Linked DNA regions of Saccharomyces cerevisiae S288C. The protein of the gene in region 2 interacts with the protein of the main gene of each other region in a biochemical or structural test. Each region holds a gene or a part of one and is shown on either strand. Other genes may lie near its edges. The genes, in order: TOS7 and RHO3.

Region 1 (4,481 bases), on a different chromosome or scaffold from region 2:
ACGTTGCAGAGACAGCAACAGCTTCATGACACTTCTGCAGAAGCATATTTGAGAGAACGTGACGAAGAAATTACTCAGTTGGCAAGGGGTGTATTAGAAGTGAGCACTATTTTCAGGGAAATGCAAGATTTGGTTGTTGACCAGGGGACTATTGTGGACAGGATTGATTATAATCTGGAAAATACAGTGGTAGAGCTAAAAAGTGCAGATAAAGAGTTGAATAAAGCAACACACTACCAGAAGAGAACTCAAAAATGTAAAGTCATTTTATTACTAACATTGTGCGTAATAGCGCTCTTTTTCTTTGTTATGTTGAAACCACATGGCGGTGGCAGTGGTGGTCGTAATAATGGTAGCAACAAGTACAACAATGATGATAATAAAACAGTTAATAACAGTCATGATGACGGCAGTAATACCCATATTAATGACGAAGAGAGCAACTTGCCGAGTATCGTTGAAGTAACAGAATCTGAGAATGATGCTTTGGATGACCTACTTTGATGACAAAACTTTCACGGTACCGCATCGCGATTTTGAACTATAATATGCTTTGAAGAAAATTGAGAGATTTAGTCAGCGTTCATATGACCTGTTGCTCGTTCTATTTGAGAAAAGTGAAAAGGTTAATATATGATTTCAATAAAGTATGTAGTATGATAATAAAATACAAATTTATATGGGATAAAATTGAACCGCAAGTAAAGACTGGCGAACGAATATTGTGCATAAGTAGTTCCTGAAGATGATAAAATATGGTTTAATACAAGTTGGTGGTTATTGTGATTTGTAGAATATAAAAAAAAAAAAAGAACCTTCATTTTTCTTTTTTTACCTAAATCCGTAAGGATTGTTCAGTGAAGTAGTAGCTCGGGGCAAGTTTTTGTTTTGCATTCTCCTCTTATAGGCAGGCTTATATCCTTGTGTTATCGGGCTTTGGTTTGGTAAAGGATTCGGAGCAAAACCGACGCCTGGTACCGGATTTCTGTGCTGTGGCACTTGGTTTGGGGCAACGTTGAAATAAGGATTGCTTTGTAAAATAACATTAGAAGGATCTGGACCAGCAGGAGTAGTTCTTTGATATAAATTGTATTGATGATATTGCTGCTGTGGTTGCTGTTGTTGTGGTTGTAGTCGTTGTTGGGGATACACTAATGGCGCCGGGTGTGGCTGACCAGCGTACGGCCTTATATTTGCAGGACCAGCGGCTGTTTCTCGAGGCATTTGATTGTATACTTCCGGATTGACACCTCTCTGTGATATTGAAGTCAACGTTGAATCTTTATCGTTGTAGGAGGACATGCTGTTGATGTGGCTATCGTTTGGTTCATTGAAGGAGGTCTCCATGATGTCGTTTAGTAGTCTCGAAGGATTTCTGTGCGGTATGACCTCTCTTTGAGAGTAGTCTGAGGACGCTAATGATGCACTGGATGATATTTCCGTTTTTCCTAGCGGAACTTTATAGTTTATATTGTTGCTGGTGTTACTACCATTGTTTCTCACATAATTATTAGAAACACTCCCATTTTTCAAGCCACTTTCACTTTCAATGACAGAATACGTTGAAGTTGACCTCCTTTTGTCATAGGCCATGCCATCGTCCTCTTCTTCATTAAGTCCGGAACCATTTGAATTTTCCATGTCCTTTGCTTCTTTATCGAAAGTAGAAATATCAGACGTGGTAGAAGTGGTTATGTTTGATAATTTCGGATCTTGATTGTGTGAAATAATATCTGGGACAACAGTGATATTAGTACCGTTCTTAAAATTGTCACCCAATAAATTCGTTCTTGAATCACCACGGAGGTTGGCCTCACTATCAGCGTCGATATCGAATCTCCCGGACTTCGAACTTAGATATGGGTCATTCAGCAGCATGCCCTTTTCTTCCAGTTCCTCGGTTTCGTCATCATCCCTTGAGCCTGAGCTTCTTGAATAAGCTGAGAATATCAAAGGAATTACTAGTAGAGATAAAGCAGCTCCTGGTATCAGGACCCATGAACACCAGGTTACATGTGGGTAAAACAGTAAAAATACCACGATACATATCAAAGAAGCAGAAAGAAAGCCTAGAGTGGAAAATGTCAAATTAACAAAAAACATGATGGCAGACGCACTACCAACTCTATCACTGGATAGCACGTTAATTAATAAAACGCTCATGATGGTACAAAGAAATCCCAAAAAATTAAGACCAGCAGCAATGGGTGTGATAAAGATGATTTTCCCCAATATAGACCTAGCGTTGCTATTGAGTTTCCAGTTGCTATCACTGTCTGATAGCTCATCGGGGTGATAATTATAACTTGCTTTTGAGCAGGAGCCCTCTTTACAGTAGCCGAATGTACCGTATGTGATCTCATCATATTTAGAATAGCCTATTTGTTTGAAAATTGGAGCCGTAATGGATCCGATAATGAGAAACGCCATAGTGACGAATTGTGATAGACCCACAAGGAAGAAAACTACCGAAGAATTTTTCTTCATAGCCTTTCTTATATTATAATCTATTAATGTTTACTAACTTCTCTGCTATAGCTTGAGTGAAAAATGGTATGTGCTTGGACAAGCTAAAATGAAATGATGGTCTTTTAACGCTGTGCCTTGTTGTTTCTATTGCCTGACACCTGAAGATATAAGTTATATATCGGAAAGAGAATGCAAGAAGAGACAAAATTATGACTAGCTGATCAAGAGGGTTTCTTATCAACAAGGATAAGAGACAACAGGACATGCATTACCGTGGCTTTCTGCCCACCACAGCGACAATGCAATATCGCTGACGCCTGCCTCTTTATTCAACTAAAAATATCTAAATATCAGCTGGAGCCAGCCGTCTCTTTTCTTCAGATGTGCCGTGATAAGCCCTTTTCGGCGCCCACGCGACGCGAATTGTTTCACACGGTAGGATAAGAGAAATTGCGTACAGCCACGAGAATTCGACTGCAACAAAGGTGTTAGACATTGCAGACTTGTTGCAAATTTGATTCCTACGGCAGGGAAAGATGCAGAGGAAAAAAATACTTGTTCATTCTTGGCAGATAGATTGCAATGCGAATCAAGTAAAAAAGCTAAGACCAGCGATGTGCAAAAGTAAAAAAATATCTCCCGGGGGCGAGTCGAACGCCCGATCTCAAGATTTCGTAGTGATAAATTACAGTCTTGCGCCTTAAACCAACTTGGCTACCGAGAGAAGCTATTTTTGTGTAGGTCAAGAATTGATGTCTATATATATTATTAATTTTATTGCGGCCTGGCTCGAAGAAGTCTTCATCCACGTATTCAAATGATAATTTTTCAAAATGTCAGGTTTTTTTTTTATTGTCATGTCGTTATGCATTAAATGATCTGGAATAATTAATTATGAAGGATGAGTACTAGAGAAGAGAAAAAAAAATATTCTACAAAAATAAATTGAACTTGTTTCTTCGGTATTAACACCAGAAATGGAACTGTCTCACGTACCATGGACGGGAATCTAGGTACATTTTCTTTTCGGCAATTTCTTGCTTGACTATTTCGATGTCGATATCTTTACGATCGGTTTCCAAATCTATGTCCTTTAACGCCTTAACCCCCCACCATTTGCCTGTTTGACACTTGTAATAAATTTTGTGGACGATGAATATAAATAACATGATTAAGGCACACAGATAATTTTGAAAAAATATTTTAGCCCTTTCTTTGCCGCTGGTCCAGCCACCAATGGGCCATAGTGAACAATAGAATTGAGCTATCAAGATTAGACAGTTGATTAAAGCGGAATACGCTGATCCCCAAATCCCGACAGCACTAACAAATTCTAATTCATCCAGAGACTTCCCTTGAGCCTTCATCGCCAGTCTAAATCTGATATGTGACAGGTTGATGCTCAACCAGACAATGCACGTGGCCAGGCCGGCAATGGCCATTAACCAATTGAAAACTTCAGACATCGAGCCAGATTTGACCAGAAATGCTAGTAATCCAAATAGTGAATTTGCCATAATGCCAACCAGTGGCCTACCAGCACGGTCGATATAACCAAACCACCATGGAATAAGGCCTTGGTGGGCCATCGAACACAACGTTCTACTTGAAGCGAAGATGCAGGAGTTACCTACACTCAAAACACTGATAAGGATGACCGCATTGACGATGGAGGGCAAGGCTTTAATGTGATGCAATTTTATGGCAATGACAAAAGGTGAGTTGTCCACAGATGAACCACCCAGTAAGTTTTGGTTTGTATATGGAACCAGGAATCCTACCAGGGTCAGTGATATCAAAAAGAAAAATAAGATCCTCCAAAACACTTGCTTGATAGCACTTGGTAAGCCTTTGGGGTCCGTTTCACCTGATGCCAGGCACGTCATTTCTATACCACCGAGAGAATACGAAGCAACAACAAGAACAGATAGAACGCCCGGGAACCCATTGGCCAAACAACCAGGGTCGTGCCAGTATTTGGCGCCAATGAACTCGTGGTCGGGACCTCCACC
Region 2 (3,196 bases):
GTCTGGATAACCAAACGGAAAAAAAGGAAATACAAAAAAAGTCAGATTGTAAGGAAAAAAAAAGAGTAGTTTCAGTATTACGAAAACTATTAGATCTTTCTTTAATTTGAACAAGAAAACAAGACTATAAAAAAAAATACTCTTTAGGATGCAGACATAAAAGAACAATACGACCGTCCCTTATTTATATATAGTCCATAGAAATAATCTCAACCAATATAATATGCAAGAAAATAACGAAGTAAGGAACAAGCACAATGGTACGCCCGGTCTTGAAAAAGTTTAAAACAGTACTCGACCCTAGGCGCTAGGGTGGGTGACGCATTTTAACTTTGCAACAGAATGCCATATGCGGTGTTAACCTCACAAGATCGGCTCTACTATCTGCAAGCTGCGGCAAATACCAGAGAAAATTCCATTCCCGTCGACAAAATTTAACCGACCCCCCCCCCCCCCAATTTACGTTTATCAGCTAATCCAAATGTGGAAGGGCAACATTCTCGACGACTCCTTTTTCCGTAATTTAAGTTTGCCCAGGCAAAATCTTATACTTGTTTTCGTAAGAGAAAGATGCGCAGATCCTTTAAGGTTACCTTCAAGCAAATCCAGAAGCACAAATGGCAGGGGAGAAAAGACATGAAGCAGGAGTAGTCAACCGCAAAAACCCCCGCGGGCTTGTTGTTCTGCACATTTTTGATGTGTTTGTTCCTAAGACAAAGTCCTAACTTAGGGTAGTAAGTGACTATATTCTGCACGCTCTTAAAGCAGCCACCTCGTTTAATTTTGCATGCTTATATAAGCTTATAAACGAAGTACCTGAGGACCTGCATCGGCCGGCCCATGTGAAAAGGAAGTATTTACTTTTTCTTCTTCTTTACTATGGAAATAGCTGGAATCCGACTATGCATATGCGTAAGAAAAGAAAATGAAGGAGTTTTCACAGGAAAGCACACTTGCATACTGGGCACAAGTGAGGAGAGGGGCCTGTAATGCTTCTGTGTTTAAAAGACTCCGAAATTAGTCAACGCAGATTTGCAGATGCACGCAAGAATACATAATCAATCACAGTAAGCACATCTCCCCAAGGAAAGAGTAAATGCCTTCGAGCCAGCATTGTGGTCATGCGAGATGTCTAAGAAAAATACTTCGATAAGCACGAGGAAATGTAATATGTCTATCTACCTTATTTTTTTTACAATAAACATATAATAAATCCCTTATCTGGTCACGTGAATTAAACTTCGGGTGTGTTGTAAGAATGGAAGGAGTAAGCGAAACTCAAATTGAGGCCACTTACCACTTCCGGTCGAGCCCGGCCCAGAACCAGTCGTCGGCCAACTTTTTTCTTGGAACAGCGTTACCGCACCTACGCGAGAAATAGTAGATTATAGATAAGAAATACAAGGAGAGGGGTGTGGATGAGCTTTTTTACAAAATAGTGTAAGGCGTCCGGGAAACCCCAAGAACGTTTTTTGACATCCACTAACAGGATTACCCGTCATAGATATACTGGTGCCATTACCCGTTAATGGCATCTTGTATATTTCTTTTATCTTTCTTAACATTCCTGAAAATTGGTAAACAGTAAAAAGAAAAGAAAAAGAAAGAAAAAACATGTATTATTTTGAATTTACTGGAAAATAGGCAACCATTGATTTTCGTTTTTTTATCGTTCTCATCTCTAGCTCTGGTCAGCATTTTTTACTTTATAACAACAAGTTTTTCATTAAAATCCATAGTAGCACAAGGTAAAGGGAAACAAACATGTCATTTCTATGTGGGTCAGCTTCAACGTCAAATAAACCGATCGAAAGAAAGATCGTTATTTTGGGCGACGGTGCCTGTGGTAAAACTTCGTTGCTGAATGTTTTCACCAGAGGTTATTTTCCCGAAGTTTATGAGCCTACTGTTTTTGAAAACTATATCCATGATATTTTCGTTGACAGTAAACATATCACGCTATCGTTGTGGGATACTGCGGGCCAAGAGGAATTTGACAGGTTACGATCCTTGTCTTATTCAGATACGCAATGTATAATGTTATGTTTCAGTATTGATTCACGCGATTCTTTAGAAAATGTCCAAAATAAATGGGTGGGTGAAATCACTGATCATTGTGAAGGCGTCAAGTTAGTCTTAGTTGCACTAAAGTGTGACTTAAGAAACAATGAAAATGAATCTAACGCAATCACACCGAACAATATCCAACAGGATAACAGCGTTTCTAACGACAACGGAAATAACATAAATAGCACCTCAAACGGCAAAAACCTGATAAGTTATGAAGAAGGTCTAGCTATGGCTAAAAAGATCGGTGCGCTACGTTATTTGGAATGTAGCGCTAAGCTGAATAAAGGTGTCAACGAAGCTTTCACAGAAGCCGCAAGAGTTGCTTTAACCGCGGGCCCAGTAGCAACCGAAGTGAAAAGTGACAGTGGATCCAGCTGTACCATTATGTAATATAATAAGACACGGACGCACACACAAAAGAATAGAACCCAAAAAGAGAGACTAAACAAATAATATAATAAGTTATAGAAGTTAATAATACTCCTACTATTTTATATTTTTTATGTAATTACTACCACTGCTTAAAAAAAATATTGCAAAATATCATAAAAGTTTTTACTCATCCTGTTCTTTCCCCTCCAGCATGTGCTCGAGATAAGTCGAAGGTGTAGGTTTTCTTTTGGACTGTACGACCAACAAATTACCCTTACTATGGTTACGATTTACGCTACCATCACTTTCTGGTGAATTAAGCAGCTTTCGACTTGGTGAAGATGCAATTTTTGCGGGTTTCCTTATGTCTTCACCCACCTCCTTTTCATTACCGTTATCGAGCGACGATGCGGATGATGAAGAGATTGTAGACACCAGAGAATTTGTAGATACATTATCACTTGTCATAATCACAGGTTTCTGTAATAATCTAGGGCTTTCTTGGTAAAGTTTAGATAGCCTTGTTTTGTATAAGATATCACCTGTTGGTGAAATGAAAAGTGAATTTCTGTTGGATTCGGATGCAAGAGAGAATAGCGGCCTTTCGAAATTACTTAAGAATGGTTTTTCATTATTAGTATGAGATACAAGTGCATCTTTCACCGATTCATCCTTATTTCCGGGACTAATATCGGACTCGCTGATATGGACCTGATCTTGGAAATTTTCTTTGGCGGGATAATCCATATATGGG

The links.
Region 1: the proteins of RHO3 (region 2) and TOS7 form a complex in vitro, tested with the Saccharomyces cerevisiae proteins (one study listed by BioGRID).

Annotation. Positions count from the first base shown.
Region 1 is NC_001147.6:286,904-291,384, reverse strand, and holds TOS7 (Tos7p), read right to left. Parts: upstream 2,488-4,481; coding exon 832-2,487; downstream 1-831. Other genes in the region: t-SNARE syntaxin TLG2, read left to right, coding at 1-504; YOL019W-A (uncharacterized protein), read right to left, coding at 2,813-2,965; aromatic amino acid transmembrane transporter TAT2, read right to left, coding at 3,435-4,481. UniProt on the Saccharomyces cerevisiae protein: Protein involved in secretion and cell wall organization. Contributes to cell surface-related functions as a auxiliary component of MCC/eisosome that specifically interacts with the secretory pathway.
Region 2 is NC_001141.2:137,988-141,183, forward strand, and holds RHO3 (Rho family GTPase RHO3), read left to right. Parts: upstream 1-1,764; coding exon 1,765-2,460; downstream 2,461-3,196. Other genes in the region: pheromone-regulated protein PRM5, read right to left, coding at 2,626-3,196. UniProt on the Saccharomyces cerevisiae protein: Plays an important role in cell growth. Required to keep the uninucleated state. Modulates morphogenesis during bud growth via directing organization of the actin cytoskeleton and the position of the secretory machinery for exocytosis.